2 linked regions of the Yarrowia lipolytica genome follow. The protein of the gene in region 1 interacts with the protein of each later gene in a pairwise test. Links are inferred from orthologs where the notes say so. Each region holds a gene or a part of one and is shown on either strand. Other genes may lie near its edges.

Region 1 (12,510 bases):
ATCTTGTACTTCTCGTATACAAAGTATCCGGGCACTGTGAGCACAGATGCGATGATCGCAAAGAACTCGGGGTCCCACTCATGGTTGAATATGCCCAAAAACACCACCACAAAGACGACGATAGTGCACAGATGCATGATGATCACACTAGAGTCGAGAAACAGTGAGCGGAACGAGTACTGAGCCACATTGTCGTTTCGGCGCAGTTGCGACAGAAAAGACGAGTCCACATAGTTGTCGGGGTAGTCCTGCTTGACCCACAATAGTTTCTTCCATGGCGGACGAGTCGTCGGTTGGCAGTCGGGGAACACGGCGTCCGGATCATCAAAGCCCGATTCTTCCGTTAAAGGCTCTCCCTGCACTCCGGTCCATTCTCCTGTGGCTCGAGACCTCAGTTTCTGGATCCCGCGCGACATGTTGGCATCAGCAAATTAGCTTTGGTGAAGAGGTCAGCTTAAAGTTGGTGTTGGACAACATCAGATGTGTCGAGAAAGCGAGCATGAGAGGGTGATAATAGTGGTCAATGTGGGCGGAAAGACTCATTGAAGTTGAAAATCAACTTTTTAACATACAGGTAGATAAAAGAATGCCACACAAATTATTTATGGTACCACAAAATCAACCCATATTCCCTCTGCAATAATAAGACTGCTAAACTACACGTGCATGATCTGCAAGGGACGTTTAGATCGGTCGATGAAGTTGATTGATCTTTGAGGTGATAATATCCGAATAGTAATTACAGGTAAGTTGTTCGCTAAGACGATGAATGTCTCGGAGTCCTGGTGTTTATGCTTTAATATTATGTTAATCTCAGATATATTAGAAAGGAACGGAACGCGGAACGCGGAACTGATGTGGTAGCTTGACCACTGGAATCTATGCGAGCTATTTAGTAAGATGTGGGAGAAATTTCAAGTGCGAGTGAAAGAACATCCAGTTAGAACATGGTTCCAAAGTTGCTTCGTCCAACTTCTCGCCTGCTGTGAGTGTTGCCCTTGTTGGTCTCCTCCAGAATGTTGTTATTGGGGTTTCGAGAGTGCCTGAAGGTGAAGCCGACAAATGCTCGGTGGGGGATGGGGTTGCCCTTGTCAGCAAGGTTCTCGACCTGTGTTCGCTTGGCCATCACCTCCTGGTACTTCTCCATATCAGCCTCGTTAGAGAAATCATCAAAGTAGCCAGCGTCAACATCCGAGTCGAGCTGGGGGATGAAGGGAGGAGTCTTTTCTCGCAGAGTCTCCCATTCAACCTCGGCAAAGTAGGGGTGCTTGGCAATCTCGTCGAAAGACCGCAGTCTGTATCGAGCGGAGGTGATGAGTCGTTGGATGAGATCCCAGGTTCGGTCCGAAAAGACGTATCGACCATCATCGTACTTGGGCCGCCGAAGAGCGTTCTTCCACTGTCGCAAGTTAGAGTATGTCTCGTCAGGAGAAGCTCCAGCGAAAGGAGGGTAGCCGGCCAGAGTCTCGAACAACATGCAGCCCAGAGACCAGTAGTCAATTGTGTAGTCGTAGTTCTTTCCCTCCAGAACCTCCAGAGCCATGTAGTCAGGAGAGCCAACAATGGAGGAGGCGTAGTTAATGTCCGAGGCTCGCAGAGACCGGTACATCTTCTGTCGCTCGGTGAGCGATCTATGGGTGACCTGGACATCCTTGACGGCATCAAGACGAATTTTCATGCTTTCAACTCGGTCCTTGGAGATTGCTCCGGATGCAAGACCAAAGTCAGTCAGCTTGATGTGACCTGCCGAGTCGATGAGGAAGTTCTCGGGCTTGAGATCTCTGTGGATGTATCCGAGCTTGTGGAGGGCCTCCAGTGATGCGAACATCTCGGAGATGTAGAACCGCGCGTGTCTGGGGTTGAGGATGCCGGTGTTATTAAGCAGAGTTCGGTAGTCTCCTCCAGGGACAAACTCCATGGCGAGGTAGACAGACTCCTGGTCCTGGAAGGCGTAAAGCAGCTTGACAAGCCACTCGGACCGGGCAGCCGTTAGAATGTCTCGTTCGGTAAGAATGTGTCTGATTTCGTCCAGTTTAAGCAGCAGCTTCTTGTTAAGCACCTTGAGGGCGCAAATTTCCCGGGTGTCGGCCTTCTTGGCCAGGAACACCTGTCCGTAACCTCCCTGGCCGACTTGGGTAAGGATCTGGAAGTCGCCGTGCTTGAGACGGGTTCGACGCTTTCGCAGGTGAGCTCTTTCTCGGCCGACATACGACTTCCATTGAGTCTCAGCCTCGGCTTGGGGGACGCCTCCAAGAGCAGCCTTGGCTTTTCCAAGACGCTGCTGACGGCCGTGTACGTAAGTCAGCAGATCGAAGTAGTAATCGAAGAAGTACAACTGGGTGACGTTGACCAGTCGCTTGGTCTGAGGGTCATTGAACTTTTCGTAGTCACGTGAAGTCCACGACGGCGAGTGTGTGTTGGCCGTCACCTGGCTGCCGTGGTGGCCCTGCTGTTGAGGAGCCCAGTTCTCCTTGTCAGTAGGTCGGCCAATGTTGAGAGACTCAATGTTGGAAATGATGGCGGTGGTCTCGTCGGGGTCACAACTTCCAGCCTCGTGTCGAAGAGGGCTTCGAGGGGGAGAGGTTCCTCCTCGCATGGGAGACTGGGGCATTCGCAGAGATTGGAGCTTTTGTTCCACAGAGCTCATGGCCCCCTTGACCGGGGAGTCTTTAAACGATACCATGGTGTGGTTGTGTTGCAAGATGTGTGGCGAAGTGTGGAGCAGAATAGTTTACCACGACGTAGCTAGCCTCTCCTCTAAAGTATTAGCTACATAAGGATAGGCGTGCAGTCGGATGGTGTTGTGTTTACTCCTAATTGGGACAAGGTTGCTGGGGCAACGCGGGTTGACGCGAGGAGACGGAAGCAGAGTCAAAGTGGTGTCAAAGTGGAGATAAAAGGGGTGCCTGGGGAAGGGGGAGGGGAAATATAACAGTGTTTGCGTGGCCTGGTTTTATTTTATTTTCAGTTGAAAATTAACCAAAGAAGTCTTTTTTATAGCTTCCATATGACAGGTGTTGACCGGGTCCCCATGGTTCAGCCTGATGAAACATACTGTAATTTCAAGCTTGGAGTTAAAGTGGGAGACGAGCAAGGAGAGAAGAAAAGGAGGAACAACAAGGCAGTGTATAGAGAGAAGGGTAACTGAACGGGGGCTATTGTACAATACATTGACAGGGTGCGATTACCAATCCCAGCGCCTATAATACCGATATAGCCAACCATGGCACGTCTGCCTTCTTCCTCCTCTTAAGTTAGTTGTTCAGAAGCCTCCACACAGCTCGAATCGAGGTGTGAAACAATAGTGATGCTCTGAGAGAATACAATTATGAGTATGTACTATACAGCGTAGTGCTCGTGCTGTAAAATACTGTACACGTACTCCACCTAGACGTGCAGTAGAGCCAAACTGATGCGCGAAATAATAGTATTGTTTGTGCTTATTGTCGCTCTTGTTGGAGTGGCTATTTTGCAGTCAAGGCAAACAGACTGCCCGTTAATGTCGAGTGTACAGGATGTACACAAGGTACTTGTACTTGTGTGGGGACGTGATAGTTAGATATTCAGATATTCAGAGCACAAGGACACACGACACTACAAGTACGCGTTCGATGTATATTATTACACTCAGGCAGCATCCGAACATCACTACAAGTAGTTTCCACTGACAACATGTACACATCAAGGTACCCAGACACCTGACAGACTCGCTTAGTGAACCTCTTTAAACTCACAACCTCACTGTCATGCAAGGCACAAGGCCGACCGTTTGGTTCCAGCAGGTGGAAAAGTGCGTGGAAAAGTGCGACACGTACCGTAGCATCCAATCACAGAGTTTTTTTGAAACCAGCAACAGCCGTGACACCCAAGAATAGTCTGTGACACGTCCACTCATCAGACCCACATGTAGCGTGCATCAACCTGTGTCCACTCCCAATATGCAAGCCAAAATTAATTTTACGCGACACGTTCAGAGACTGCTAATTACAACTACAAGTAGACGGACTTCAAGTACACTAACGTCTCCGACGGAATCCAAGACGACTTTTGCTGAACATAGACGGCCCACCAACACATTGGAATCACATGCAACTACGAATCCCCGCACCCTACAATACTCTACAGCAGCCTCCAGCCAACCGTGGAGTGTTTATCTGCATCGATACCGAAACCGCAGAACATCATGCTGGAGTGATCACGGAGATCGGAGTGGCCGTGATGCGGTTCCATCCGATTGGTCAGCCCGACAAGCCTTACGCAGCCCCTAAGATCTCGGCCCAGCACTTTGTTGTCAAGGAGAGATCGTCGGATCGATACCGAAACGGTAACTACGTCCCGGACCATAGAGACTTCTTTTGCTACGGTACGTCGCAAGTGGCGCCTCTAGCCGACATTCGAACAGTTTGGAAGGAACTTCTGACGGGCCTTACTGCCGGCTTTGACCAGGACCCGGTCTACTATGTGGGCCACTGCATCTCGGGGGACCTCAACGAGCTCAAGAAGATGGACTTCCACATTCCTGAGCTGCCCATCATCGACACTGAGAAGATCTGGCGTTGTATTAAAAAACAGGGCAAGGGCAACCTCACCTATCTTCTGGAGGCATTTTGCATTCCTCACGCCTTTCTCCACAATGCAGGTAATGATGCCTATCTCAACCTGATGGTGTTCCAGGCTCTGTGTGATCCCGTTGTTCGCCAGGAACACAGCGTGGGGACCAAGTTCAACTACGATCCACGAACCCCTCACAACAAGAGACGTCGAAAGAAGGCTATTGACTACCCCATCGAGTATGCCAATGACTACGACACTCTGGAAACCAACGTCAAGTATCTCGGCAAGCTGGACGGCTGCAACCGTTTTATCAAGATTGGTAACCTGGAAGAGGAGGAGGAGCTGATCCCCCGAATGTTGCCTGCTGTAGTAGTCAAAGCAGACTCCCTGGCAAAGGAGGCAGTCCTTGGCCCCAACTCGGACCGATACGAGCGACAGAAACTGTCTGAAGACGTTGAAATGACTGGCCAGACTGTTGGACCTATGGACATGCTTGTACAACCGGCTTTGCAGGGTCGAGGACGGTCCCCGAACAACCAGCAGTATCTACCTTCTCACAGCGGGTTTGACAGACCGACATACACCGCTCGCCGGTATGACCAAGACAACAACCAAGGTGCTCGAGCAGCCCACAACAGACAGGGAATGTACAACAACCGTGGACAGAACCACAAGAAGCGAAGACAACCAAGGGGCGACTTCCAGGGTGCTCGCAGCCGGGACTCTAGTCAAAAACGAGGATCTGGAGGTGCCTCTGGGACCCAGGAATGAGAACTCACGAAGCGAAGACGCACTGACGACTAAGCATCATTGAATATGATACCGTTATATAATAGTGATGTATGTTGTGCTGGCCACATCCTACATTCAGTTATGTGTACTCCGCGCTGACAACGTGGACTCACTGGGATACTGTGCGGGACTCTCGCCTTATGTGACTACTCTATACATACATACTGTACGGGGAGTGAGTGTCCCAGATCGTACATATATACAAGTACATACTACATAGTAGTTTGATGATGCTTAATGTGTGCAAATAGTGAAGAAACTTGAGACAAGCTCTCTAATCAACCGCTCACTACGTTAACTACGTTTATTTACGTGCTTTTTCATATCTTCGAAGTTTTGTATGTCTTAAAAAACGAAACTTCAGCTTGTTTGAAGCTGTACGTACGGATTAGTAAAATATGCGTGCCTACGTGGATGGTGGGGTGCGATGATCTCAACAAAAGTAGAAATTTTAGCCATTTGAGTAGAGGGGTGAATTTAAGACATGGGAAGGTAAGTAGAATACAAGTAACTATTCTCGCAGCATCAAAAATCGCTTTCGCTTACATAAAAAACCGACCTTATCCAGTTCTCCCACTCACGTGATATCAAGGTTAGGGGACACAGCCCAATTGGTGAAGTATATCACAGCACTGCGTAAGTTTGAGCATACCCACTCAGACTCCGCGTTGGGAGTTCATAACTCGCTGGTGAAATTTTTCTTCTCTTCTTCTCTTCAGCGGAATTTGTCTTTAAATATCCTATCAAACTAATTCGAAATGGGAGGCAGCACCAGCATCAAGAAGACCGAGTACTTCTCCAAACTGAAGCAGTTGCTTCAGGAGTACAAGTCCATTTTCGTCGTCGGCGTCGATAACGTCTCTTCTCAGCAGATGCATGAGATCCGAAAGACTCTCCGAGGCCGAGCAGTCGTTCTCATGGGTAAGAACACCATGGTCCGACGAGCTCTCCGAGAGTTCGAGGAGGAGCTCCCCGAGGCTGCTGAGCTTCTCATGCCCCTCTGCCGAGGCAACGTTGGTTTCGTTTTCACCAACGACGACCTCAAGGAGATCCGAGAGGTTCTCCTCGAGAACCGAGTTCTGGCCCCTGCCCGAGCCGGTGCCATTGCCCCTAAGGACGTCTGGATCCAGGCCGCCAACACTGGAATGCCTCCGGACAAGACTTCTTTCTTCCAGGCTCTCGGTGTCCCCACCAAGATTTCTCGAGGTACTATTGAGATTACCTCCGATGTCAAGATCCTCCAGCAGGATGTCAAGGTCGGTCCCTCCGAGGCTACCCTCCTTAACATGCTGAACATCTCTCCTTTCACCTACGGAATGACTGTTGTTCAGGTCTACGACAACGGCCAGGTTTTCGGTTCCGAGATTCTGGACATCACCGACGAGGAGCTCATCTCCAACGTCATTGGTGCCATCTCTACCATCACCGCCATCTCCCTTGCCGCCAACTACCCCACCCTCCCCGCCGTGTCTCACTGCATCATCAACAACTACAAGAACGTTCTTGCTCTGTCCATTGCTTCTGACTACACTTTCGAGGGCTCTGAGGCCATCAAGGACCGAATTGCCAACCCCGAGGCTTACGCCGCTGCTGCTCCTGCCGCCGCTGCCGCTTCCGGCTCTTCTGAGGCTGCCCCTGCTGCTGCCGCTGAGGAGGATGAGGAGTCTGAGGATGACGACATGGGATTCGGTCTTTTCGACTAAGCTCTTAGTTAGTTAAAAATCTACTACTTATCTGTAAACCCTGGGATTGTAGAATTGCGCTGTGTATTTATAATAACGTTGTGTCCTCCTACTATGACTAAGACCCGCATTGAGCTGAGTGGAGTGTGCTACCTGTAACGTTGTGTATGTACTGTACTTGTAATATGAATACGATCTTTAACACTACAGTAAAAGTATCAACATTTGAACTGTTGATTTATTATGTGCAGTACAAGTATGAACTTGTACGATCTATATGCTCTTTTATTTGAATAATATATTTATACTATACGACTATTATACGCCCAGTACAATATCTCTTTTTCAGTGTGAGCTTTGTCCCATTCCGTAGGATTTTTTTCCCACAGGTTTTTTTTATTATTTATTATTATTATTATTATTATTATTAATAATAACATAACAGTACTACTTGCAATTACTTGCCATGGTGTGATGAGTCCCTCTTCTCAAACCTACTTCTGACACAACATGGTATCAGAAGTCAGAACAAGAACAGCAAAATTCGCTCAGAAGGAAGGAAGGCAGATATAGTGTTAATTCGATTATATTTATACTGACTCTACCCCGCATCGAGTTCTGCACGTAAGACATTTGTAGTACTCGTACCAATACGGTACACTCGTACTTGTACCCCCTCTTCACAATGCACTCATCACCAATCACTCAGTTGCAGGTACAGGAGGAGATCTTTCCATCTTCTGGGTAAAATATCATAGCATCTGATGGATTGAATGCAATAGAATCACATGCAACAACACAGCTTATGTAGTTAGACCCCGTTTTTCCAACCCCTTCGCTCTCCGGATAACACGCCTTGCTCTCAGTTGCTCTTCCCTCTGCCGACTTCCGTCTGATCCACCTCTGCCATCTGTCAATATACACTACTGTAACCCAGAGTCTATCTGAGATTCGCGTAATTTTTTGTTTTCCCGCTAACCGTTGTGAACCAACTTAATCACATGCGTCTGTGGCCCAAGCTGGCTTAGGCACAAGTAGACGACTTTTTCTCTCATTTTTTTGCAACGGGACAAGAAGACATGCATTTGTTTGTGCTCATTCACGGTCTCTGGGGAAGCGCAACCCACATGGCCGCGGTAAAGGAGGTGTTGGACACCACCTACGGTGTCAAGGCTGGAGGAGACATGGTTGCTTATGCCACTCAGAGTAACCACGGTACTCTCACCTACGATGGAGTGCAAGTATGCGCGCGTCGATGCTATCTGGAGATCAAGGAGGTGATTCGCCGCTACGCTGATGACGAGGGTGTTACCTTTGACCGCATCTCGATACTGGGCTATTCTCTTGGTGGCCTCATTGCGCGGTATCTCTGTGGCATATTTTTGGACGAGGGCTTCTTCGACAAGGTCAAGCCCGTTCTGTTCTCCACCATAGCCACGCCGCATCTGGGCTCCAAGTTCCACCGAACTGACAAACGTTGGTTCAGTTGGATGAACACTCTTGGAAGTACCTATCTCGGGAACACTGGACGAGACCTGTTTCTCAAGGACCCGACACTTGCTGACATGAGTAATCCTTCCTCATCCGCATATAAGGCGCTGGAGATGTTTGATAACCGGGTGCTGCTGGCCAATTGCCGAAACGACCGAACGGTGCACTTCCCAACGGCGTTTATCACGGCTGCTAATCCGTTTGCTAACCTACGATGGCTCGATCTCAAGTTCCACGAAGTCAAGCTGCAAGAACCCGTGGTGGACAGCTACGGCTGGAGCCACTCGCCTCGAATCATTGACTTCAAACGAACCACCAAACGGTCCCTTCCTTTCCCCGTCTACCACGAACACATTCGCCAGAAGCTTATCTTCTGGAGTTTTGCGGCTACTGTTGGTCCCCTAGCTATCACAGCTGTGTTAATTGCGTCCATGTTCTTCACCAACAACTCAAATCACCGAGTCAGCAAGTTTCTGAGAGAAGGAGACAAGGCACTCATGGGTGAGATTCTCGAAAGTATCAAGATGGAGACTTTTGACGAGGAGTGGTTGAATGAGGGTGACGAGAGGAAGGTTGGCGGTAAGGGGGAGAAGACTGAGAACACCGACAAACAATCCTCCCCCGTTTCTAAAACGGACGCGTCCAAGGTTGAGGAAGAGGCTGATGTCATGGCTGCTGGAATCACTGAAGCTGCCGTCGAAGACGTCATTCTAGGTGATGATCTTAACAACACCGACACGCCTGCTTTGTCGGAAACCAAGGTGGTCGGTCTGGGTGAAGCTATGGAGGCGGCTAGACACACAGGAGACCGAGGATTGCTGGCCAACTGGGCGAACAACGCGCCTTTCTCCGAGGACGTACTCAGCATGATTGAGAACATGGACAAGCTAGGCTGGGAAAAGTACGCCGTGTACATTACCGTGATCCATTCTCATGCTGCCATTGTTGCTCGACGAGGGCTTACTCAACAGGGACAGGGTGCAGCTACCCTGCGTCTCTTCAGCGAGATTATTAGATCCAAGATTTGAACACAACAATCTTGTTGCTCGCGGAAGCCAGACGGGCATGCTAACTTATAGACACACAGTATGACGTGGTAATTTATAATAGAAGTTTACAAAACACAGCACTACGACTATTCACACAGTAATCTACAATCAGTTCAATCCATCAAGTCATAATTATTTATACATCATAGAACGATTAGGCTAATCCTGGAGCTCAACAAAGTTGGAAGGGAAGAGGTTTCGCTTGCCGTTGAGCGATCCGGTCCACCAGTCCTCGTCGATGAATTCAATATCTGTGATGATATCGTCCGCCGCGAAGCTCAGTTCATTGTCCTCAGCAGCGTCGTAGTCGTACAGGGCGATGGCAGAGGGGCCAGTGCCAGCTCCGGCAGCAGCGCCGGCAGCAGCGCCCGGCAGCCCGCGGCAGGATCGGGAATGGTGGGCACAGCACCATCCTTAAGCCTGACATAGTTGGAGGGGAACAGACCGGACTCACCCTTGGAGTTGGTTCCGCTCCACCAGTTCTCGTCCAGGAACTCAATGTCGGTGACGATCTCGTCCTCCACGAGATCGATCTCACCCTCCTCATCCTTAGTGTAATCGTACTCCACGGTGGCAGAGGGCTTGCTGGAGACAACAGCAGCAGGAGTGGCAGCAGCAGCACCGCCTCGAGAAGGCAGGGCGGGAGCAGGAGGCTCATCGGCAGCAGGTCGAGATGGCATGGGAGGAGGAGGAGCGTCGTTAGCAACATGTCGAGCAGGCATAGGAGGGGGGGCATCATCGTCGTTGGCGGGAGGAGGGGCGTGTCGAGCAGGCATGGGGGGAGGAGCATCATCTTCTTCCTCATCTTTGGCAGCTCCTCGAGCAGGAGGAGGAGGAGGTCCTCCGGTACCAGCACCAGCAGAGAAGGCGGCCTGAAGAGCAGAGGCGCCCTTGGAGAAGCTGTTGTGCTCGTCCTCATCGTCGTCATCCTCATCAGCGGGGGGTCGAGATGCAGAGGGAGGAGGCGGGGGCACTGTTCGAGCAGGAGGAGGGGGAGCATCATCTTCGTCGGCAGCAGCGGGCTTGTTGAAGGCGCCTCGGAGAGCAGAGACAGAGACAGCGGGAGCATCGTCCTCGTCCTCATCATCGTCGTCGTCGTTTACTCGAGAGGCGGAAGGAGGGGGAGGAGGAATGGTTCGAGAAGCAGGGGCGGGGGTGGACTTCTTGGGCTCGTCATGCACGGCCGGCTTATTGAAGGCACCTCGAAGAGCGGAAACCGATGCGTGGGGCTCGTCATCTTCGTCGTCATCACCACCGAAAGAAGCAGGAGTCTTCTTGTCCTCCTCATCATCGTCGTTCACAGACAGCTTGGAGAACTTGTCGGATGCAGAAGAGACGTTGGAGGTAGACGAAGGCACGGCCACGTCAGGCTGGGGAGTCTTTCCATGCTTTTCAGCCCAGATCTGACCGGGAGTCTTACCGTTCTCAGAGGCAAAATCTCGGGATCCACCAGACACAATTGAGGTCTTGAGACCATACTGAGACGACAGATCACCGGCGGGGGCCAGAGGCTTGGTTCCTCGAGAGGCAGCGGGTGTGAATCGAGACTGGATAGCAGATTTGTCGATCTTGGGCTTGGGCATCTCGGTGAGCCGTCCAGACCCGGAGAAAGCGTTGAGTCGGTCCTTAACAGACTTGGGGGTCTCATCCTCCTCATCGTCGTCGTCTCCACCAATGGTGGTAGGGGGCTTCTTGGAGGGAGTGGGAGTAGAAGAAGACTTGGAGGGCTTCTGGAAGGCCTTCATTCTGTCTTTGAGAGACATAGGCTCGCCGTCCTCGTCCCCGTTCTGGTTGTCCTCATCCTCAACATCGGCGACAGGGGCAGGCTTAGAGGTAGGCTTAGGAGTGGCCTTGGGCTTGGGCTTGTCGAGGTCCGTCTTGATGGGGGTGTTTTCAAAGGACTCCTTGTGTCCCTTGCCCTGGGCTCGGATGGCTGCAATGTCAATTTTACCGACGGGCTTGTAGGAGCCACCGACAATGCCTCGATCTGAGTCGGCGTCTCGTCCCTCGGACGTGAAGGTCGAGGGTCCTCCCTTCTTTCGGATCTCGGCCAGGTCAACCTTGACGGGCTTGTAGGACGACTCAACAGGTGTGGGCTTGGAGACGGGCTTGGTTTCCACTGCAGGGGCGTCTCCCCAGTCCTCCTCATCGGCTCCAGACTTTTGCGTTGTGTAGGTGGGCTTGGTCTTGATGGCCGACGAGATTCCGGGCTTTCTGGATGAGGTGGCTCCGTACTTGGCACCAGAGGCTCGCTCCAGCCGCTCCAGGATCACATCCTCAGTGAGATCGTCTCGGTCTCGGGCAGTCACCTGGACGTGGTAGCCGTGGAAGAGATTTCCAAGGGCATGGAGATGGGGGTTGAAGACACCCTTGGCTCGAGGGTCGGGGACTCCCTCAGGACACCAGCCCACGTAGACAATCTTGGGTAGCTTCGAGTGAGGGTCGGGGACTCGGACCAGGCCGTATTGCAGCTTGCCCTCCTCGAACTCGTCGAGGAAATCGGCCAGAGTGGAAGTGTCAGACTCAGGGATGGCTGCGACCTTGATGGTGGCCGAGGACGCTGTGGGAGAGGTGGCATAACCAAAGATTGCCCAGGGGAACTCGGGGTCATTGCTGACAATGGCGCCGTACACGTCCTTGATCTGCTGGCCGTTGGTAGCTAGGTCGAGAGACATGTTGAAACGTGTGTTGCGGTAATTGGGTGTGTAAGAGTGTGTGTGTGGAGAGACTATGTACAAGTGGTGAGCTAATTGAGAGTTATAGACCAACCATGCACTGTGATGTGGAGTTTAAAGCTCGGAGCAATCGGATGGTGGAGCGGTTCGAATGGGTGATAGAGGGGTGATATGAAAAAAAGTAAGGATGAGAATGTGTTTGTAATGGACAATTGTTTGTGGTTGGGGGTATCATTCTTCTCTTGTATGCCTCCCCTACCCCGCATG
Region 2 (11,561 bases), on another chromosome or scaffold:
CAGGCAATCACACTTCTGTTTGGGGAAGCTACTATGATAAGGAGACTGCCAAATGGGGTTATGCTTGCTGTCATTGTCTGATCAAGAACGGCTACTGTGTTGGAGAGAAGGGCAAGAAGAAGAAGGGGGCTATGGATACTGTCTGAGGGACAGATTCACTTGTAAATCCTGGACTTCTTTCGATACTTCTGTGTAAATTATTAATTTATTGCATCACCTGGAAGGGAAGAGAAAACTAAATGTAGCCTGTGGTATTGGTATCGAATGAGCTGTTTCATGACGGGCGCAACCACAGTGTGGACTGGAGTGCTTGGGTAGAGATTGCAATGCTCGTGGAAGTGGAGAGAGTCAAGCAACAAGTACATATGGTAACGTGAAGACGAGTCCAACACCGTTAATCTTGCGTCTTAGCTGTGGCTTGTCAACACCAGAGCGTTATCTAAGAATCATGTTGGAGAGAGTAAAAGTATGGGTATTCCTACTGTCGCTACTTGTACTACTGTTACAACTTGTAGTCAAGACACAAGCTTGTAGATCGCCTGAAGCCCAAGACCGGCATTATTGGCACATAACTCCGATCGCAGCCCACATAACTCCGATCGCAGCCCACAAACTCATATCCCTCTTGGTAGAGTAACTCCGCCAAAAAGATGAGACTGTTGCTTGAGAGAGAAAAAAATTAAGTCAAAACCTTGGGGAAGATGGTAAGGCGATGATGATCGTGTTGCTGTAGTTTATTTGGGAGCGACTTGTAGCAAGGCTGACAAGTAGCCAGCAAGTCAGATATTGCATTGTATAGTTCTGGTTTGGTTGATTGGTGGTTGTGATTACATAATATCGAAATAATCAATTTCATCTCTCCCGGGGACGCTATAGTGTTCCATGATCAGATTGCCTGTCTTTTTTTTATTTATTCTTATTGTTTTTTATTGTTTTTTATTTTTTTATTTTGTACGTTTTCTGACTTTTTCTTAAAAAGTTTCAAAACCACGCCACCCAAGGTTAACTAACGGTGCTTAATGGCTCAACTGACCTCGTGCGTGCTGCCAAAACCGCTTATTCATGGTCGCTGCAAGATACTGTAAGTGCATGATTTTGAAGACTATTTTTTGGACCGCCTAAAAGTGTAGTGCAACCCCAGACTTTATCTCTCGGCAACAAAACACTCAATGAAACACTACAGAGCTGTACCTGGCGCTCTGAGGGCGTCGCTGGCCAGATCCGCCGCGCCCAGATCGACCTCCACCCGGTTTCTGTCGACTTCCGTGCTCAGAATGGCCGAGCACAAGAACGAGTCCAAGGGCAAACCTCTATCGTACCCCCCTCCGCCTCCCACAGTTCAGATTCCGCGGTTTGACGGAACGCCCAATTACAATCCCTCCGAGGAGGAGAAGCAGCAAGCCAAGCACGAGAAGGCCGTTTCCTGGGCCATCATTTCTGTGGCCTCGGTAGTTGGCGTCTACTTCGGCTACAAGTGGTATGGGCCGTACTCTGAGTCCGACGAGGAACTCCATCGACAGGTGGCGGAGCGACAGCAGAAGAAGAAGGCTGTTGCCAGTGCCGCTGTTCGACAGGAAGACGCCGACGCCGTTGCTGCTGCTGCGGCGGCGGCTGACAAGTCCTCAAAGAAGGGCAAGGCTTCGGTTGCTGGAGTCTCCTTTGCTGAAATGACTCCCGGACTCTTTGCCTGGGGAGATAACGATGGACACGCAATCAAGGACACGTACAACGCCGAATCCGAGACCCCCAAGCTGGTGCGATCTCCCGTTCGACTGCGATACTTTGAAGGAAAGTTGCTGCGAGACGTGACTCTGGGCGATGGCTCTGGAGCTGCCATTCTGGACAACGGAGACGTGGTCCAGTGGGGTGACCGGTTTGCCCCACACTCCGTCAAGAATCCCGAGGTCACTCTGCAAGGAAAGGACGCCGTCAGAATCGTCCAGTCTCGAAACATGCTCTATGCTCTGTCCAAGGATGGAACCGTGTACTCGTTCCCTGTTAGCAAGGAGCTGCAGGTGGCTGGACCCAAGGAAAGAGAAACCCGAACGCGTCTGATCCCCGGATGGAAGCGAGAAGCCAAGATCACCTACCGTCAGCTGGACTTTGATACCACTCTGGGCATCACCGAGAAGCTCAGTGACATTTCTGCTGGACAAGACCATCTTCTGGCTCTGTCCAACAAGGGCCGAGTGTTTGTTTCATCTACCGGAGGAGCCATTGAGGAGGTTGAGACCGATCCTAACCCCGTGACTGGCGAGTTTTCAGAGACTCTGGTTGGTACCGAGGCTCCCCTTCCCTCCGCTGGCCAGTTTGGAATTGCAAAGTTCTCTCACTTCAACACCGCTCCCCGACCCGGAACTCTGTACGAGATTCGATCTTTCCGAAATGCTGTTGTCACTAACATTGCTGCTGGTGCCTTCCATTCGCTTGTGCGAGACCAGAACGGTAACATGTGGGTGTTTGGCTCCAACAAGTGCGGCCAGCTTGGTCTGGACTACGCCTATGAGTCGCAGAACGTTGCTCTGCCTCGTCAGCTGACCCTGGGCCGAATTTGCAAGAAGGACCAGGCTGCTATTGTTACCCGAGTCTTTGCTGGAGGAGATACCTCGTTTGCCGGCATCAAGGTGGTGCAGTCTGATGATTACAACTCCGCCTCCAACTCGGAGCGAAAGAAGCTGTTGCAGGACACCGCCGAGGTGATTTACTCGTTCGGTGACGGTCTCAAGGGCCAGCTTGGAAACGCCACGTTCAAGCATGTGCAGGCTGAGATGACGCCCATCAAGGAGATCAACTATGCCTCTGAGTGGAGCGAGAAGCTCAACAAGGTTGTTCCCATCCAGGTAAACTACATGTCCACGGGCCCCAACCACGTGGCTGCCGTTCTGGACAACTCCAACGACGTTGCCACTACCCAGGACCTGTACCTGTGGGGCGGCAACGAGTTCTCGCAGATTGGAAACGGCAAGCGAAACAACATCCCCAAACCCTCGCATTTGATCACCAAGCACACCACCGAGTCCGATCCCTACACCCAGCTCATGACCAAGACCAAGATCAACGGTTGCGAGGTCCAGCAGCAGATTGTCGCTGGCGACGGAACCACTTGTGTCTTCTACAAGCGAATGTAAGGAGGGGTGTGGAGTGTAGCAAGCAGATGTAAATAGTATAAGATAGGTATGATAGGAAAGGTGTAAAACAGGCAAAATGTTGGTACGTCAACCCGATTATAATTCAACTAAACAGTCAACTATATATACTTGACAGATTCTTGACAGTAGCAGCTCTCCCTTCACTTAGTAAGATACTTGTTGATATCAGTGGGTCATTATGGTATCCTCACAGTCTATCTTGTAAAACACATTTCAGATCTCAGCGACGGAAATGCATCCCACAGTCAACTAGTCTCAAACCAGTTTTCACAACTAAAGGGTACAGTATACAGTATTTAAATAAAAACACATGTACGGTATTCTTCTTTATAAAAGAGCATCGTCGTAGTATTTACAACACTGTACATACAATGTGACCTCGGACTACTTTACAAATGACTAAATATCAGTTGATAACAAGCACAAATACGAGTACCCATATCTAATCCAGTATACAATTTAATCCAATTTAATATTTTACACCTACACAAAAAAAAAACAGAAAAAACATTTTTTTTATTTATTTTTATTTTTTTATGCTCACGATTACAGCACCCCCGCTAAAGTTCCAACTGTAGCAAGCTGTATAGTGAAACAAATGCAGGAGTTTCTAAGCGTCGCTAGAGATGTGGGTGCAGAGGAATCTAACTACAAGTAGTCGTTTTGGCGAAGAGTAATGAGTAAATTACAATCAACAATCGATTTCAACAGTCTGTATACATAAATCCTTGTTATTTCGTCTATATTGGATCCCCAATACCTTGTCCCCACTGTCCCGTTGCCGGGGCAACCACCTCCCAACTTTATCTCGGATTCTAAACACAGTGTATCACAACTGTCGGACACGGTTCCACGATACAAGCGCAGTATCGACTTAACAACCTCACCCCAACACATTGTCGAAATGTCGTTCTTCCAATCTCTGCATCTCAACACCAACAACTCGCGTACAACCCGCACTTTCAAGCCCTCCACGGCCTCTTCCCCTCCCGCACATCTTCTCAGACAGTATGCTGACACCACTCTAGGAGCAGGCTCTCTGGCCCAAGCAGTCAAGCTCCCTGAAGGCGAGGATCTGGCTGAGTGGCTGGCCGTGCACACAGTCGACTTCTACAACCAGGTCAACATGCTCTACTCAACCATCACCTCCTTCTGTTCGCCAGCTTCGTGTCCCCGAATGACAGCCACAGACGAGTACGAGTACCTGTGGCAGAATGCCGCATCGGAAAAGTTCAGAAAGCCCACCCGAGTCTCTGCACCCGAGTACATTGAGCATCTGGTGTCGTGGGTCCAGGCTCAGCTCGATGACGAGGCTGTGTTCCCCCACAGACTAGGCGCCCCCTTCCCCAAGAACTTTGTGTCCAGCGTGGTTCCCCAAATTCTCAAGCGGCTGTTCCGAGTCTACGCACACATCTATTGCCATCACTTTGACCAGATCAGCGAGCTGGGTCTGCAGCCGCATCTCAACACGTCGCTCAAGCACTTTGTGCTGTTTTCCAAGGAGTTTGGCGTGGTCGACCAGAAGGAGTTTGCTCCTCTGGACGAGCTGATTCAGATCTTGTTGGATGATAAGTCTTAGGCGATTTCGGTGGCGACTGGCCGTAGGTAAGGAGTGGACCACTACTAATGGATATGGGCAGCACGATTCGGCTGATGAATGCTCACGATGAGCAACTCAGGACACAGAACTAGGCCTTATATTAGGCTAGGTCAGAAGGATGTTGACTAATAACACACAGAGTCAAATAGTTAATGGGTATATGAATGGTATAGGCTGTCGGTGTGTGCGAAATGGAATGTTAGGGGTGTCAGTGGAGATAGCAAGGTTGTTGTGAGGTGAGTCAGTCACTCAAATGAGATACCAATTCGAGAGACCGGTAAGAGTATGATCATTATGTGAGCAGGTAGCTGCTTATGGTGCATGTCATTGTATTTTTATGTACAATGCACCGGATACTGCACGTCTAGAACCTCTGCTTGAAGGTCTCATCTACAAACGACGCATTGTTGATTTTGGTCAGTTTGAGCGTAGACAGTGGCACAAGTACAAGTGCAAGTACAAGTACAAGTACAAGTACAATGTACCGGATTCATACACAAATGCCACTTATCTAGGGAGTCCTGGATGCTTTCCTGTATATTTTCAGTCTCATTATTTTCTCTTTCTACCCCACACAAGTGCAATTACGATTCCTTGTCAGCTCCATGAAGCGGCTGTGTGTCGATAGCCGAGAGGACTTTGTGAGGACATAAATATTGGTGTATTGAAGACAGCTCTTGTACGACAAGGTCCGTGTTGTATACCTGGACAGGATATGAGTTGTGACTCATCAAGCACTATACTGTAGCTCTTGTCAATGGTCTTCCAGAAGTAGGTCTATGTACAGCAGTATTCCTAATACAGTACTCGTACAAGTAGTAAGTAGCTTAGGTGCAGTTTGGTTCACTTGACTTTTCACTCAGTGCATTGTGTGAGAACATTATGCATGGATCCACATACAAGCTTTAATTCGGGGTAAACAGAAACCCGCCTACGGGAAGAGGAGTGATATTGTCGGTATCATCACGCGTTCTCTGGTGAAGGAGACTCGGGAACCCACTCTTGGTGTCATGTGATCGTCCTATTGTAGCCCTTTTTCTGTTAGCCCATCAGAAGCCCATCTTTGGTGCTATCAGAACGTATTCTAGCTACATTATTAGAACAACGGCGTCATACTCCCAAGACCAAATCTAGCTTGGCTCTATTTAATATCGTTTAAGCGCCAACGCCAACGCCAACGCCAACGCCAACGCCAACGCCATCTCCACCCCGACTCGCCATGGCCTTGCAACTGGATCTGCCCACGCTGCACGACCTGCGTGTCGTTCTGAACGCAGACTTTCTGGCCGCTCTGGCGGCGCTGCTGCTGCTGGCCGTCATTCTCGTGCCCCTCTGCTCATACATTTCGCTGTATGCGTGGTCAGCCATTCTGGCCTTCAAACTGCGATCCCCGCCGGCAAACTGGGAAAAGAGCATCGTCAAGGGCGTCCAGGCCAACGGAACATCCACACTGTTCGGCTTTGGCTTCTGGCAGGCCGCCGCTGTTCGACGACAGCTCATTCTCCAGTCCAATGATCCCTCCTATTACTCAGTGACACACGTTTCTCGACGTTCCGAAATCGCCATCAGCCCCGAAGACAGAAACACCGAGTTCCGCAACCGCGCCCAGGACTCGGGAGCGCCCCGGCGAGTCATCTACGGCTTCTTCCATCCCTACGCTAACGCTGGAGGAGGAGGAGAACGTGTGCTGTGGGCTGCAGTCAAAGACACCCTCATGTACGACGACAACATCATCTGCGCCATCTACTGCGGAGAACAGGATTTGCCGACCCGAACCTCGCCGTCCACTGTGCTCGACGCGGCCGTCTCAAACTTCCACGTCACCGAACTCGCGGATAAAGAGCTGCGAAAACGAATCGTCTTCATTGGAATGAGAGGCCGGCGACTAGTGGACCCTAAGACCTGGCCCCGATTCACACTCATGATGCAGGCCGCTGGCTCCGTTTGGATGGCCTGGCACGGAATCTCCACCCTGGTCCCCGACGTCTTCGTCGATACCATGGGCTACCCTTTTGCCTACCCTCTGGTCTCCTGGGTCACCCATGTGCCTGTTGCTGCCTACGTCCATTACCCTGTCATCTCAAAGGACATGCTGGCAACCGTTTCTCTCAAACAGTCGCCCGTTCGAGCAGCCCTGGCTGTCGCCAAGCTTGTCTACTGGCGTGTGTTTGCCCTCACTTATACCTTTGCCGGCTCCTACTGCTCCGTGGTCATGACCAACTCGTCCTGGACCAACAACCATATGCAGCACATGTGGTGGTACAACCACAAGGCCGAGCACATCAAGATTGTCTACCCTCCCTGTGGCACCCAGGCTCTTTCTGAAATTGCCATGTCGGAAGAGACCTCTGCCCGAAGCCCTAACATTGTCTACATTGCCCAGTTCCGGCCGGAGAAGAGACACGACATTGTGCTCAGAGAATTCAACAAGTTCTACAAGGAGTACACCGAAAAGTACCCCAACCAGCCCGCTCCTCACCTGACTTTTGTGGGAACTGTACGAAACGACGACGACAAGTCTAGAGTCTACCTTCTGCGACTCCAGGCACGTGATCTCGTCAACCCCGACTCGGTGTCGTTTGTGCTGGACGCCCCCTTTGACAAGGTGCGAGACATCCTGCGAACTGCCTCCATGGGAGTCAACGCCATGTGGAACGAGCATTTCGGCATTGTCGTGGTCGAGTACATGTCTGCCGGTCTCATTCCCGTGGTCCACAACTCAGGAGGGCCCAAGTGCGACATTGTGGTCCCCTACGAGGGCCAGTCCACTGGCAACAGTGGCACTCTATCGGCCATGCCTTCGTCCACATCCATTCGATCTCACTACGAGGCGGTTCCTCCTGGACCTACGGGCTTCCACTTCAACTGTCCTGGCTCCGACCCCACAACCGACTCCGGTCCCAGCTACGACGGCGAGCCTATTGGCACTCTAGCAGAGACTCTGATGCGGGCCTTTGAGCTGTCCGAGTCCGATACACACAACATGCGTGCACGAGCCCGAGAGTCCGTCAAGAAGCGGTTCTCCAACGAGCAGTTTGGCAGCCACTGGCAGGTGCGAATGCGAATTCTCGAGAAGCTGGAGCAGATCCGACGAGGCCACCGACTGACCCGGGGCGACTTTGACTAATTGAGGAGGACATGCAGACAGGGAGTACAGAAAGGCTTGTACCACACCAAAATAACAAGCGGACCACCATTCGCTATGACATAATCTAAAACTGAAGTAAGGCTGGGGAGGGTATTGGTGTTTCAGGGTCAATAGCCAGCTATTTTTATTCTTAGTCTGGTTATGGCCAGCTAAGTGTAATCTAGCTGACTAATAATCACAGCTGGTAGAACAATTGCAGTATGTACGTATCGGCACTTTTATGTACATACTGTACATACTGTATGTACTTGTATTGTACGACTTTACATTAATATTTATTTTTTCTGTCACCTTCGGTGAAATATTTAGGCTAATTAGGAGTGTGTACTCCAATGGCAAGTTTAACACTACAAGTACCCCCAGTATTATGATAACAGCTTATGAGAAGTGTTGGAAGTCATCTAAAGGGGCCTTCTCACTGGTTCACCTTCGTTTGCGGTCTCGGAAACCCCTCATTTTCCCTCCCGTGTCTCATTTCATCACGTCTCGCACCATCTTACTCCTCGTTAAAACCCTATGCGCTGGTCCACTCAGATGCACGACTTGCATGAGATTAGGCATACACACAGCCCTTGGGGATGCATCAAAGATAGCACGGGTTAGCAAGGCACTGAGAAAAGATCGGGAGCAAGGCCATTGAGTGGCGGCAAAGGAACGGATGGCTTAGTAAGCGATGGAAAACAGATACCCGGTCGCAAATGACCAGTTCACTACAGTCTCACCCCTCAATCTAAATTTTAAGTGTGCCCCTGAAGTTCCTTTTCGTGGGGTTTGGGTGGCTACGTCATCGCAAATAAGCTCTGAGAACCAAGGCGGGTGAAGAGCAAAACATGGGGTGACCGATTAAATACTGCTGGTACAATACACAATGCATGTTCTAAAATACACGTCATACGTTCATTAACTAAGTACCTATTGTATTTATTTAGCACCAGAAGTGGTGTCAGGAAGACCGTTGGCAAAGAACAGAGAGCCCTTGCCGTCGGCGGGCTGAGCCTCGGACAAAGGCTTGAGGTCATCAGTAGTGCCGTAGGATCCCGTGGCTTTTCGAGAGGGAGGGCCTCGCTTGCCCGTGGACGACACAGAGTACTTTCTCTGTCGCTCGATCACGTCGTGGGCATCAGCGCCCACCTCGGTGTGGTCTCGAGGGGCATTCTGGGCAGCGTCCCCGTCCTCCTTGTGGTTGGACATGGTGAGCCGTCGCTCGACATGGACGGGCAGATCGGAGTGGGCAGGCACAAACTCGTCCTTTTCGGTCTTGAGAGTGTTGCCGGCGTCGGGGTTCTCGTTGTCGTACTCAAACACGTCCGAGTCGGCTCCTGCGGCAGCCTGGGCAGCCTTGATCTCGGCCAGACCGGGCAGGGCGGGGCCCTGGTCGACGGAGAACTTTCGAGAGTTTTGTCGCGACTGCACCCGGGGCACCTCGCCTACATGCTGGTTTTCCTCGTAGTCGTCAATGGTTCTGTTTCGAGGGTTGTCGTAACCAAAGTTGGACTTTTCGTCGACCAGAGGGTCCTGCTTGGTGGCTTCGCTTGGGCTTTCGAACTCGTCGGGTTCGTCGAACACCTGCTGGGGCTCTTCCATGTGTTTTCGATGGGCCGAGGCCAGGAGAGATCCACTCATTTCGCGAGCTGAATGGGGTAGGGCAGGGATTTCGGAGTCGGCAGACGTGGGCAGGGGGTTGTTGTTGTCGACACTATCGGCTACTGGGTCGGTGGCGATAGTGGTGTTTGTGTCGTTGGGGTAGGCGGTTGCGGTTGCGGTTGCTGTTGCGGTGGCAATTCCTGTGGGGATGGCGTTGGATGCGTTGCTGTGTGTGGAAGCGTTGTGTGCAGAGTCAACGTTGTTGATGTTAGCTGGGACTGCGTTGTTCACTTCAGTATGGTTGTGCTGGTTACTGTTGCTGTGGCCATTAACCTGCTGCCGTGATGGAGCAACCCTAGGGGCATTAAACTTTAGAGCTCGTGCACGCACATCCTTAATCGAGGTGAGGGTCTGGATGTCCTTCATCCACTGTTGCAGAGCGTCAGCAGACTCGACCCGGAATACCCAATTGTGGCCCCGCGACGAGTCGCCCTGCTTGGTCTTGAGCACAAACTTGTGCGACCCGCTGGACGACTTGGAGTCGGCCGAAATCTGGCACTCGTCCAGCGCCAGAGACATAACCGGTACGGGGTGTTTGGCCCGATCGCCGCTCTTGAACTCGTGCAGAAATGACGGGGTCAACACGTAGAAGGCCCGGCTGTAGCTCTTGAGGTACTTGGACCGTCGCTCCAGCTGGCCCGATCGCAGCTCGCAGGTGAGAGGATCGCCTCGGTAGGGGTACTCAATCTCGTCGATAGATCGAGAGGGAGTAGCAGTATCGACAAAGTTGGGGTCAGTAGACACAAAGGCGGTCCACTCGGCTGCGGGCTCTCGAGCCACAAAGCCGTCGACAACAAACTTGTCCACCAGCTGCTGTAGAGCCGTGGCAGCAGCCGAATTGAGCTGCGCAAAGTGGTCGAGAGCCTGCTGGATCTCCATGACCACCACCTTCTCCAGCTCCTTGCCGCTGTTTTGCAGGTTGTTGTACGCGTCCTGCAGGTAGTTTTCCTCTGAGATTTGCCGTCCCAGCTGCTTCTCGAGCTGGTACCGCACCAGTGCCGGGTCCTGCTTGCCCTGTAGAGGTCCCCCGCTAGTCAGCACCTTGATGGCCTGCTGTAGAGAGGCCACGTGCTGCTCGGTAAGACCTTGTTCCTTGGCGTAGGTGTTTTTGAAGTCCGACGACAGGCCCTTGATCTCCTTGATCTTGACCAGCAGGTCACGCCGCAGATCATCGAGCCGAGGGATCAGGTTCTTGGCCAGCTCCTTGGCCAGCTGCGACGCGTGGGCCGCCTGGGTTCGGTGGTAGGCAATGAGGTCGCCGGGCAGATCGGCAATGGAGCCGTGGCCGTAGGGCTGGAACATGGCGCGAATTGCCTCGTCCTCGTGCGACGTGCTGTTTTGGTGGAAGCCGCCTGCCCACAGCGATCCGGCGGTCGACTTGGCCGCTACCGACCGGGCGTCGGTCACGTTGGAGTCCTGGGGGTCCAGGGCCTCGCGATCCTTCTGGACCGTATGCTTGGACATGTCGGCGGTGCCGTTGGCGAAAAACGGAAAGTTGACGGCCGTGCCCAACCGCACGTGTTGTCGAGTGACCTCCTCTTGGACCGAAACCGCCTCCTTGAAGTAGACGAGCAGGGCTCGGATGATTTTGCGCCAGGCCGAAAACCGGTTGGCCAGCACCTCGGTGGGGTTGCCGTTGATGGGCACGGGGCAGTAGGCGACCGACAGAGTGTCTGTGGCGTCCATGGTCATTTGCTGCTTCTGTTTTCTTACCAGTCTCTCAGCCGTGTCGTGCTCAGGGTGGTGGGATAGGGAAAGGGAAAGGTGAACGCTGCTGTGGTAAAGTTGGGGGCGCGGCTGGGAGTTGGGCATACTCTGTGAGTATATGGATTTTAGGTAATAGCCTTGATTAATGGGAGGTGGAAGCGGAGGCCTGTACAGGATGCATTAGTGGTTTCTGATTTGGGGTATTCTTGCTGGGCTAAGGAAAAGAGGCCTGGCATTGACCACCCCCCGAGTAGACTGCGACATTGGGCTCTTTACACGGGTCCTAAATCCTCTCTTACCCATGTTATTCCGT

What was found.
Region 2: the proteins of YALI1_B18741g (region 1) and YALI1_D11034g interact in binary tests that used the Schizosaccharomyces pombe proteins (3 or more experiments, as listed by UniProt). The link is inferred for Yarrowia lipolytica from reciprocal best matches to the Schizosaccharomyces pombe genes sid2 and mob1.

What each region holds. Positions count from the first base shown.
Region 1 is NC_090771.1:1,864,328-1,876,837, reverse strand, and holds YALI1_B18741g (uncharacterized protein), read right to left. Parts: upstream 2,684-12,510; coding exon 941-2,683; downstream 1-940. Other genes in the region: YALI1_B18764g (uncharacterized protein), read right to left, coding at 1-416; YALI1_B18727g (uncharacterized protein), read left to right, coding at 4,087-5,325; YALI1_B18707g (60S ribosomal protein uL10), read left to right, coding at 6,105-7,049; YALI1_B18687g (uncharacterized protein), read left to right, coding at 8,108-9,547; YALI1_B18645g (uncharacterized protein), read right to left, coding at 9,847-12,243. UniProt on the Schizosaccharomyces pombe protein: Part of a signaling pathway. Required for initiation of medial ring constriction and septation.
Region 2 is NC_090773.1:1,095,983-1,107,543, reverse strand, and holds YALI1_D11034g (uncharacterized protein), read left to right. Parts: upstream 1-4,053; coding exon 4,054-4,728; downstream 4,729-11,561. Other genes in the region: YALI1_D11087g (uncharacterized protein), read left to right, coding at 1-146; YALI1_D11068g (uncharacterized protein), read left to right, coding at 449-628, 671-733; YALI1_D11063g (uncharacterized protein), read left to right, coding at 1,170-3,128; YALI1_D11015g (uncharacterized protein), read left to right, coding at 5,969-7,876; YALI1_D10961g (uncharacterized protein), read right to left, coding at 8,819-11,353. UniProt on the Schizosaccharomyces pombe protein: Has a role in promoting the onset of septum formation during the latter stages of mitosis.